Callithrix jacchus: one gene and its partner. The protein of the gene in region 2 interacts with the protein of the main gene of each other region in a pairwise test. Links are inferred from orthologs where the notes say so. Each region holds a gene or a part of one and is shown on either strand. Other genes may lie near its edges.

Region 1 (3,748 bases), on a different chromosome or scaffold from region 2:
GGTGGAGACTCTCATTTTGCAATATACAACCAATTGCCCTCCTTTTAAAACTTTGTCTTCCTCAGCACTCTGAACCAAAATGATTCTGTAAATAAAAATTGTTCACTCTAAGGAGACGTTCACTTGTGTAGTTCCTCACCAAAGTTTTTAGGCAACAAATCCATAATTTGTTGTTTTCTTCCTAGCCAATTTAGCATCAGCTGAAATTTTTTAAAATAATATAATAAATGTTGATTCAAACTCACCTAGGAAGATTAGAAAGGGGAAAAAAGGCACTTGGCATTTAAATCTTCAGAAGAGAATTTAATAACAGGTTCAGCCTGTTTAATGACAGGCCCAGCACCACACCCTTCTCTTATTATGTTTCATCATTACTGCATAAATTTCCTTTACTACTCACGATAAATAAAAAATTAAATGCTTGACAAAGTGGATTTAAACAGGTAAGAGTGCAAACAAAGATTTGCTGTACAAATATGATGAAACTGGGATCTCAGATTCTTAAAGTATAAATTTTTTTTGTCTATGTGTTCCAGGTTGCCACTCTCAATCTCTAACTAGTTTTTTTTTTTCTTTTTTGAGGGTTATATTCATAATGCAAAGATGGAAAGAATTTAAAGGCACATGCAAAACAGGATTCTCAGAATTTTTCTCTATTATTATGGTTGACTAATTCAAATAGGAAGACACGTCCAAAAGAAAATTGCTAAGGTTGACACAAGATATGAAACTTACGAAGTTCAAGTACTGCCTGGGATGAATTTAACTTGTATGACAGGTGCAGAGCTGTCGCTTTCAGACATCTTAAGAAAGACGGAGTTATTTTCAGTGCCTTTCTCTCAGCCACAAGGGAGCCACCAACGTCTCTCAAGTGAAACCAACTGGCCTAAGGCTGACGGAACAGAAGTCCTCTGCTCCGCCTACTGGGAATTAGAAGCTGAGGGCAGTGGGTCAACATTCCCAAAATCTTAGCCTTGGATTTACTGGACATCCAGCCAGCAGTGCTGCCGGCGTCCCGGCGGCTCCCCGGCCCAGTCTCTGGCGCATGCGTCCCAGCACCTTTGGGCGGGCTTCCCCGCCGCCGTGACGCGTCGACCGGGCCGGGCCTTCCCGCGAGCAGGCGGGCAGGGGGCGGAGCCTAAGGGGGAGGGGAGAGGCAGGCCCCTTGGCCCAGCTGAAAACTGAATTCTTTGCCGGCTGGCTCCCCACTCTGCCAGAGCAAGGCGGGGCAGTGAGGACTCCGCGACGCGTCCGCACCCTGCGGCCAGAGCCGCTTTGAGCTCGGCTGCGGCCGCGCGAGGCGCTTTTTCCCAGAAGCAATCCAGTCGCGCCGGGTGGTTCTTGGGGCCAGGAAAAAGCCCGGAGCTAATACCCGCCGCTCTGACATCGAACGGGGCCGCAAGCCGCAGACGCACGGCGGAGGGGAATGAAGCTGAGTCCAGCTCTCCCAGGAAGACAGTGCGCCGGAGCGGCGTGGGAAAGAAGGGAGGAGTGTCGTTAAGTTTACCGCCCACGGTGGATTACCCGGGCCGCTGCGCGTCTGGGGGCTGCGGAATGCGCGAGGAGAACAAGGGCATGCCCAGTGGGGGCGGCAGCGATGAGGACCTGGCCAGCGCCGCGGCGCGAGGACAAGTGGAGAAGGTGCGACAGCTCCTGGAGGCCGGCGCGGATCCCAACGGAGTCAACCGCTTTGGGAGGAGCGCAATCCAGGTAGCTGGGCCCCGGGGCCTCGCCGGCAGGGGGCGCGCGAACGCGGGGCGCGGCCTCGGTGGGTCGGGGCTGGAACCTAGATCGCCGGTGTAGACTTACGCAGCAGTCTCCCTTGGCCGGAGGTGTACAGCCCAGGCATAAAACAGGCTTTTACCCAACAAAAATCCTAAAGAGAGAGATTGAAAAACCCACTGTTTCAGCTTTTCTTTAAAATATTGTTTTCTGCCATCTCATGATCAGAAATGCAAGGAATAGATTGAATTGGGAAAAAAAGGAGAAAGGGAAAGTTTATTTGGGGAGGAAGACTTGTCTGCCTGCTTTCAACGATACAGATAAGTAAACTAAGTTATACATTCTGGATTGGATTTAAGGAATTCTACAAAATCATAGTACATGGAAAAAATTCAATGTAAAGTTTTAAGCTACTATATGAAATCTGTTGTATTGTTTTCTCATAAAGGTTAATTGAATTCAAAGTAATAAGACTGGATTCCTCAACCACAGTACTTAGTTCTTTTTATGTTAGCAATGTCTTATAAGTGATGCATAAGAGAAAAATATATACATATAGTTCTATAGATTTTTCATTTAATTATCATACTCAGTGCTCAGATTACAAAAATATTCCTGCAGCTACTGTTAGGTCCTTTCTGAATGACAAAGGATCTTCATAAATAAGGTATCTTTATCTTCATTGTTAAAGTACTTGTATTCAATGTTTACAAATCCTGCTTTAATTAGTACTGATATTTTTAATTTCTTTTACAATCTTAGGACAACACTTTTGTACTTTACCATTGGCTATTGGTCATATTCAGTATTCACCTCACTATCACCCTCCAAAACTAAGCTAATACTAAGGGATCTTGTTACAGTGTAGATTTTATAGAAGTGTCCATTTCTTTTGAATTCTTAGAATAGAGGTAAAACAAATAAGGGATATTTTAAAGGAGCAAAAATATTGTAAAGTGGTTTTTTAAAACTTAAAATTCTATTAATAATTATAAAAACAAGTTATATATATAATTCACCATTTTCTGAAATACTAAGAACAGCTATTTTCCCCTCTGTTTTCTATGTAAAATACCTTACATCGCTAGTAAAAAAATAACATCATGGTTTTCAAGGGAGGAAATGAACATTTCTAATATTAATGAAATAAGCAAACAAAACATGAGAAGTATACTGCCTTTCAATTAAATGGTACATTTTAAAGTACATAAACCCATAACTTGATTTGGGACATTTACCAAAAACTGTCTTATAATTAACTTAAAATATGTCAGCAAATGTTTTGATAATGTTCATGTACACAAATGGCTGCTATAGGATTACTCCTGCAAAACGCTTTTTCTAAGTTATGCATCATCCTGATTGACTGCTGACATCCAAGCTCTTTTTATTTATTTTATTTTATTTTTTATTTTTTTGAGATGGGGCATCACTCTGTTGGGCAGACTGGAGTGCAGTGGTATGATCTCAGCTCACTGCAACCTCAGCTTCCAAGGTTCAAGTGATTCTCCTGCTTCAGCCTCCCGAGTTTTGGGGGCTGTAGACCGGCCCCACCACTCCCAGCTAATTTTTTTTCTTTCTTCTTTTTTTTTTTTTTTGTAGTAGAGACAGGATTTCACCATGTTGGCAAGGCTGGTCTCCAACTCCTGACCTCAGGTGATCTGCCTACTTCCGCCTCCCAAAGTGCTGGGATTACATTACCTGGCCCAAGCTCTTTTTATATAGCAAAATATTTACTATTTAACGTTATAAAATCTTAGCTATTATACAATCCTATAGTACATGGAAAAATATAAATATATTGTTAGTTTTACATTACATTAAATATATTACACTCTAAATTTAAAATGATGAACTGTTTAACAAAAATCATTTGTTCTCACAATTTTATAAGATTTTGCATGATTTAATTTACTTTTCCCTTCTAATCTCCAACTTTGGCTCAAATTTCACACTACAATCTCTTTATGAACACAGACACAAGATAAAAGCCTTCCCCGCAGGATTTGCTGAGAACTAAACTTTT
Region 2 (3,748 bases):
CTTTCAGTTTTTCTACGAGGAGACATTTAAAAACGACTTGCACACACAAATGGTCTTTTTGGGGTAAAGGAGTCCCGGTTGGAAACGAAATTCTCTCTGCGACTGGGAGGAGGACCTCCCTGGTGGAAACCTTGGGAAGACCAGCCATCTGGTCTGGGAGGGTTGGGGCTACTCGGTGGTGGGTGAGCGAGAGGCCCTGGGGGAGGGGAGACCCCCTCACCCACAGGATCCCGAGGGTGGCGTCACCCACAGGATCGCCACACTTTCGCTTGTCGTCTCCTTAAAAGATAACTTCAGGAAGACGGTAGCATAATCGCGCCCGGTCCTGAAGTTTTAAGCTGATTTCGACCTGAGCAAAACTCAACCTCCCTTTCAAAGGGTGGGGGGTGGGAGGTTAAATCCTGCGCCTCCAGGTAAGCGAGAAGGTCTGTGTCTTTGGGGCTCGGACTCGCGAACCTCTTCCCACTCCTAGGACCTCCCGGCTGTAGGTAGCGGAGGCGGCTGCCCCATTCCACCTCCGGCTAAAGGCCAGGTCCAGTCTGCAGCCAGACGCCCCCGGAGCCCTGTGAACAACAAAGCGCCAGAGAAGGGTACCCTAACCTTTCCTCCCCACTCAACAGCTATCTGGGACCAGGGGGCCTCCCTCCCCCACGGCCACCGTGGCCTCGTCAGTACTTTCGCCACGCCGGCCGCATGTCTAGAATTCCCGGGGTACCTCGGAATTACCTGGCCCGCAACTGCTGGCCCGCTTGCCTTTTGCCAGGATTTAAGCAAACGGCACGACCCCACAGTGGGCGGGTGGAGTGGACCGCGGCGAGAGCAGAGATTCTGGCACTCACTCCATTCAGAACTTAAAATCCGAGCAAAGAGCCCCCAGGGACTGCCGGGGGTCTGAGCCAGGTCGAGGGCCACACAGGTAGCCGAGGAGCCGCCACTGGCCGCCCAACCCGCCTCTCCTCCGTTCCCCCATCCCCCTCCCGCTAGAGTCTAGCCCCGGGCTCCGCAGCGAAGGAAGCGTCGAAGGACGTCCCACCCCCACAGGGAACTGTGCCTGCTGCCCCCGCAGGGCCCCGCACGGCCCCGGCTCTCCCCCTACTCGCCCCCCAGAAGGTCGGCCTCGGCGGATAGAAACGGGAGCAGCAATGCCTTTCCCCCCCCCTCCTCCACTTTTTTTTTGTTGTTGTTGTTGCTTTCCCACGCTGGCTGAATGTGACTTGACCCCATTTCAAAAAAGTTTGACATAGTGCTTCAACATTTCCGCATTCCTCCGCGACTACAAAGGCTGCAGCCGCCTCCTTCTGCTTTCTGTCTCTGCTCTCTGTCTTCACACTCAATGAAATCCTTCATGCGCCTCTCCCGAAGCCTGCCAAGCACCGCAAGGGTCGCCACCAGCACAGCGACAAGAGGCCACACCGGGGACCGCGACTCCCGCGTGTGCGCACACGCAGATGCGCCCATGTGCACACGGTCGGGCGCGCTGCGGTACCAGGGTTGCTCACCGCGGGGCGTGTGTTTAACTCCAGTATTTAAAAGTATAAAAGTAAACTTGGAAACTAAAGCAAACGTGCGTCTTCGCGGGTCTCCAAGCCTGGGCACTGGCCGGTTGCGTGCACTCTTCTGTGCATAACACGCCCGCAGGAAGCCTGCGTTAACATTTATCTCGTGGAGGGGAAGGTGGAGCCCACACCCACACCTCAGCGAGCTGGAGGGGGAGCTTTGGTGGGGGAAATAGGGGGATGGAAGCACATTTTCCAGCATGGAGTCCCCAGAGGCAGTGCATTTGAAACCCTAAATGTGAATTATTATGTGAGTGTCCGAGTCGAGTTCCAGTTCCGTTGGAGAAACTGGATGGGGAGTGTTCTGCGTGGGTGTGTGTGCGCATGGATACGTGGAAGCAGGATCTCGGTGTCGTGGGTGTCCCTAGCATGGGATCTCCCCTCTCATCAGGAGATTCCTCTAGCTCCCCAAAACTGGCCCCCGTAACCAACCCCGTCTCAGTTTGTAAGGGGTTAACCAAAGCCGATTCCAGGGAAACACGGGTCCCCCCCCACCCCACCCCACCCCGCCACGCTCCACTTACCCCCACCCACAGTTATGCCTCGGACCCGGGCCAATCTCTCAGATCTCCCCCGGGACCCCCCACCCCGCAGCCCACCCACCCGAGCGCACGGCTCCTCACCTGAGGGGCCCAGTCGCGTCGGGCCTCCTGAGGAGGCTGCGAGTGTCAGTCGGCTCTCCGCACGTGTCCACGGCCTGGCGGAGCAGGTAATCAGACTCTGGGGAAGGAGTTACCAGCACTCTCCGGCGAGGGGGTGGGCACAGCGGCAGAGGGCGGAGGGACGGCGGAGGGCGCCGCCCGCGCGACTCGCTGGGGGCGGACGGGGCCGCGGGGATCCGGCCGGCGCTGGGGGCCCCAGCCGGGGAGGCAGCGTGGGAGACCGCGCGGGGGAGGCGGGGACCCACGAAGGCAGCTCTGCCAGAGAGCCACCCCTCGGCGGGGCTGGGGGCTCCTGGCGCAGAGGCAAGCTGGTGTGCAAATTAAAGCTTTCCGGAGAAAGGGGAGGCGGCCGAGCCCCGGCAGGGCTCTGAGCTCCAGGCTCCCCAGCTCCGGTCTACGCGTCGGGGGCTAGAAGGGCGCGGGGCGGAGGCGGGGGAGTTAAATGAAAATTTCCGGCTTTCACTGAAACTGGAGTAGGGGGATCCCGCTACTAAAATAAGCTGCGTTAGTGGGAGAGAGTGGGGACGTGTCGGGAGTCGGCGGAGTTTCCAAACCCAGGGTCTCCAAGAGTTGGGGTTTTGACAGGGTGAAGTGGGGGTTATCCTCACTGTGTGACGTGGACGGATGGGAAAAACAGAAAACAACCAACAATAATTATGAGGGGCCGATGGGGGTGGAAAATACCAATACTTTACAAGAAACTGAAAAATCAGACCAAAAATTAACTCTTCTCTATTAAAAAAAAAAAAGTTTGGCAGGATGCCTTGCAGAAAAGAAATACTAATCTGTCCAAGCACTTTTCACTTTCAGCATGAGCTACATTTGTTTTGTTTTCCTTCGCTTCCTTTCGGCCTCACAAAGCCCTATATTTTCCTTTTAGAGGATATGGTTTGGAAATTATCAGGCACTCTTATGGTTAACGATCTACTTGAAGGGGCTGGCGGGTTCACAATTATTAAGTGGTCAGTAACTGCTGAGGGTTCACTAACGTATTTCAGAGGAGCTAAAAAGACTAAAATGTAGTGCAAATAATAGAACTGCAGATAGTAGATACATACACACAAAGAGGGGTGCTCAGTTTAAATGCATTATTGGAATTCTGAAATTTGAAACCTGGTAAGAATGTATACTTTACCTGCTGAGAAACCCTTGAATACAATTATTTTAGATGAAAATGAGATTTTGGACAAAAAAAAAGTCTTTAAAACTTTCTACAATGGAGTAAAAGAAAACTTGAAATAGCTGTCTTTTTGGAAAGAATTTAGTGTTCTCCAAAATCTGTATCTGTAGAATACTTGAAACCCTTTAAAACATCTAAAAGCAAAACTTTTCACAAAATTATTTACTTCAGTTCTTTGTAGAAAAATTAAAACCCTGCAAAATTCTGTTTTAGTTGGAAATACTACTTCTATAAATCTTTTGACTTTAAAACCATGTTATTAATCTCACAGTAAATCAAAATTTTGCCTTTATAAAATTGATTCTATATTACAATGTGAGGTGAGGCTAGGGAAATAAAAATTGATGCAT

Evidence for each region. The genes of interacting proteins can lie anywhere in the genome.
Region 1: the proteins of CDK6 (region 2) and CDKN2B interact in binary tests that used the Homo sapiens proteins (3 or more experiments, as listed by UniProt). The link is inferred for Callithrix jacchus from reciprocal best matches to the Homo sapiens genes CDK6 and CDKN2B.

What each region holds. Positions count from the first base shown.
Region 1 is NC_133502.1:129,005,484-129,009,231, reverse strand, and holds the start of CDKN2B (cyclin-dependent kinase 4 inhibitor B), read left to right. Parts: upstream 1-1,207; 5' UTR 1,208-1,554; coding exon 1,555-1,710; exon of another isoform or gene 1,711-1,876; intron 1,877-3,748. UniProt on the Homo sapiens protein: Interacts strongly with CDK4 and CDK6. Potent inhibitor. Potential effector of TGF-beta induced cell cycle arrest.
Region 2 is NC_133512.1:56,784,885-56,788,632, reverse strand, and holds the start of CDK6 (cyclin-dependent kinase 6), read right to left. Parts: upstream 2,272-3,748; 5' UTR 2,180-2,271; exon of another isoform or gene 1-2,179. UniProt on the Homo sapiens protein: Serine/threonine-protein kinase involved in the control of the cell cycle and differentiation; promotes G1/S transition. Phosphorylates pRB/RB1 and NPM1.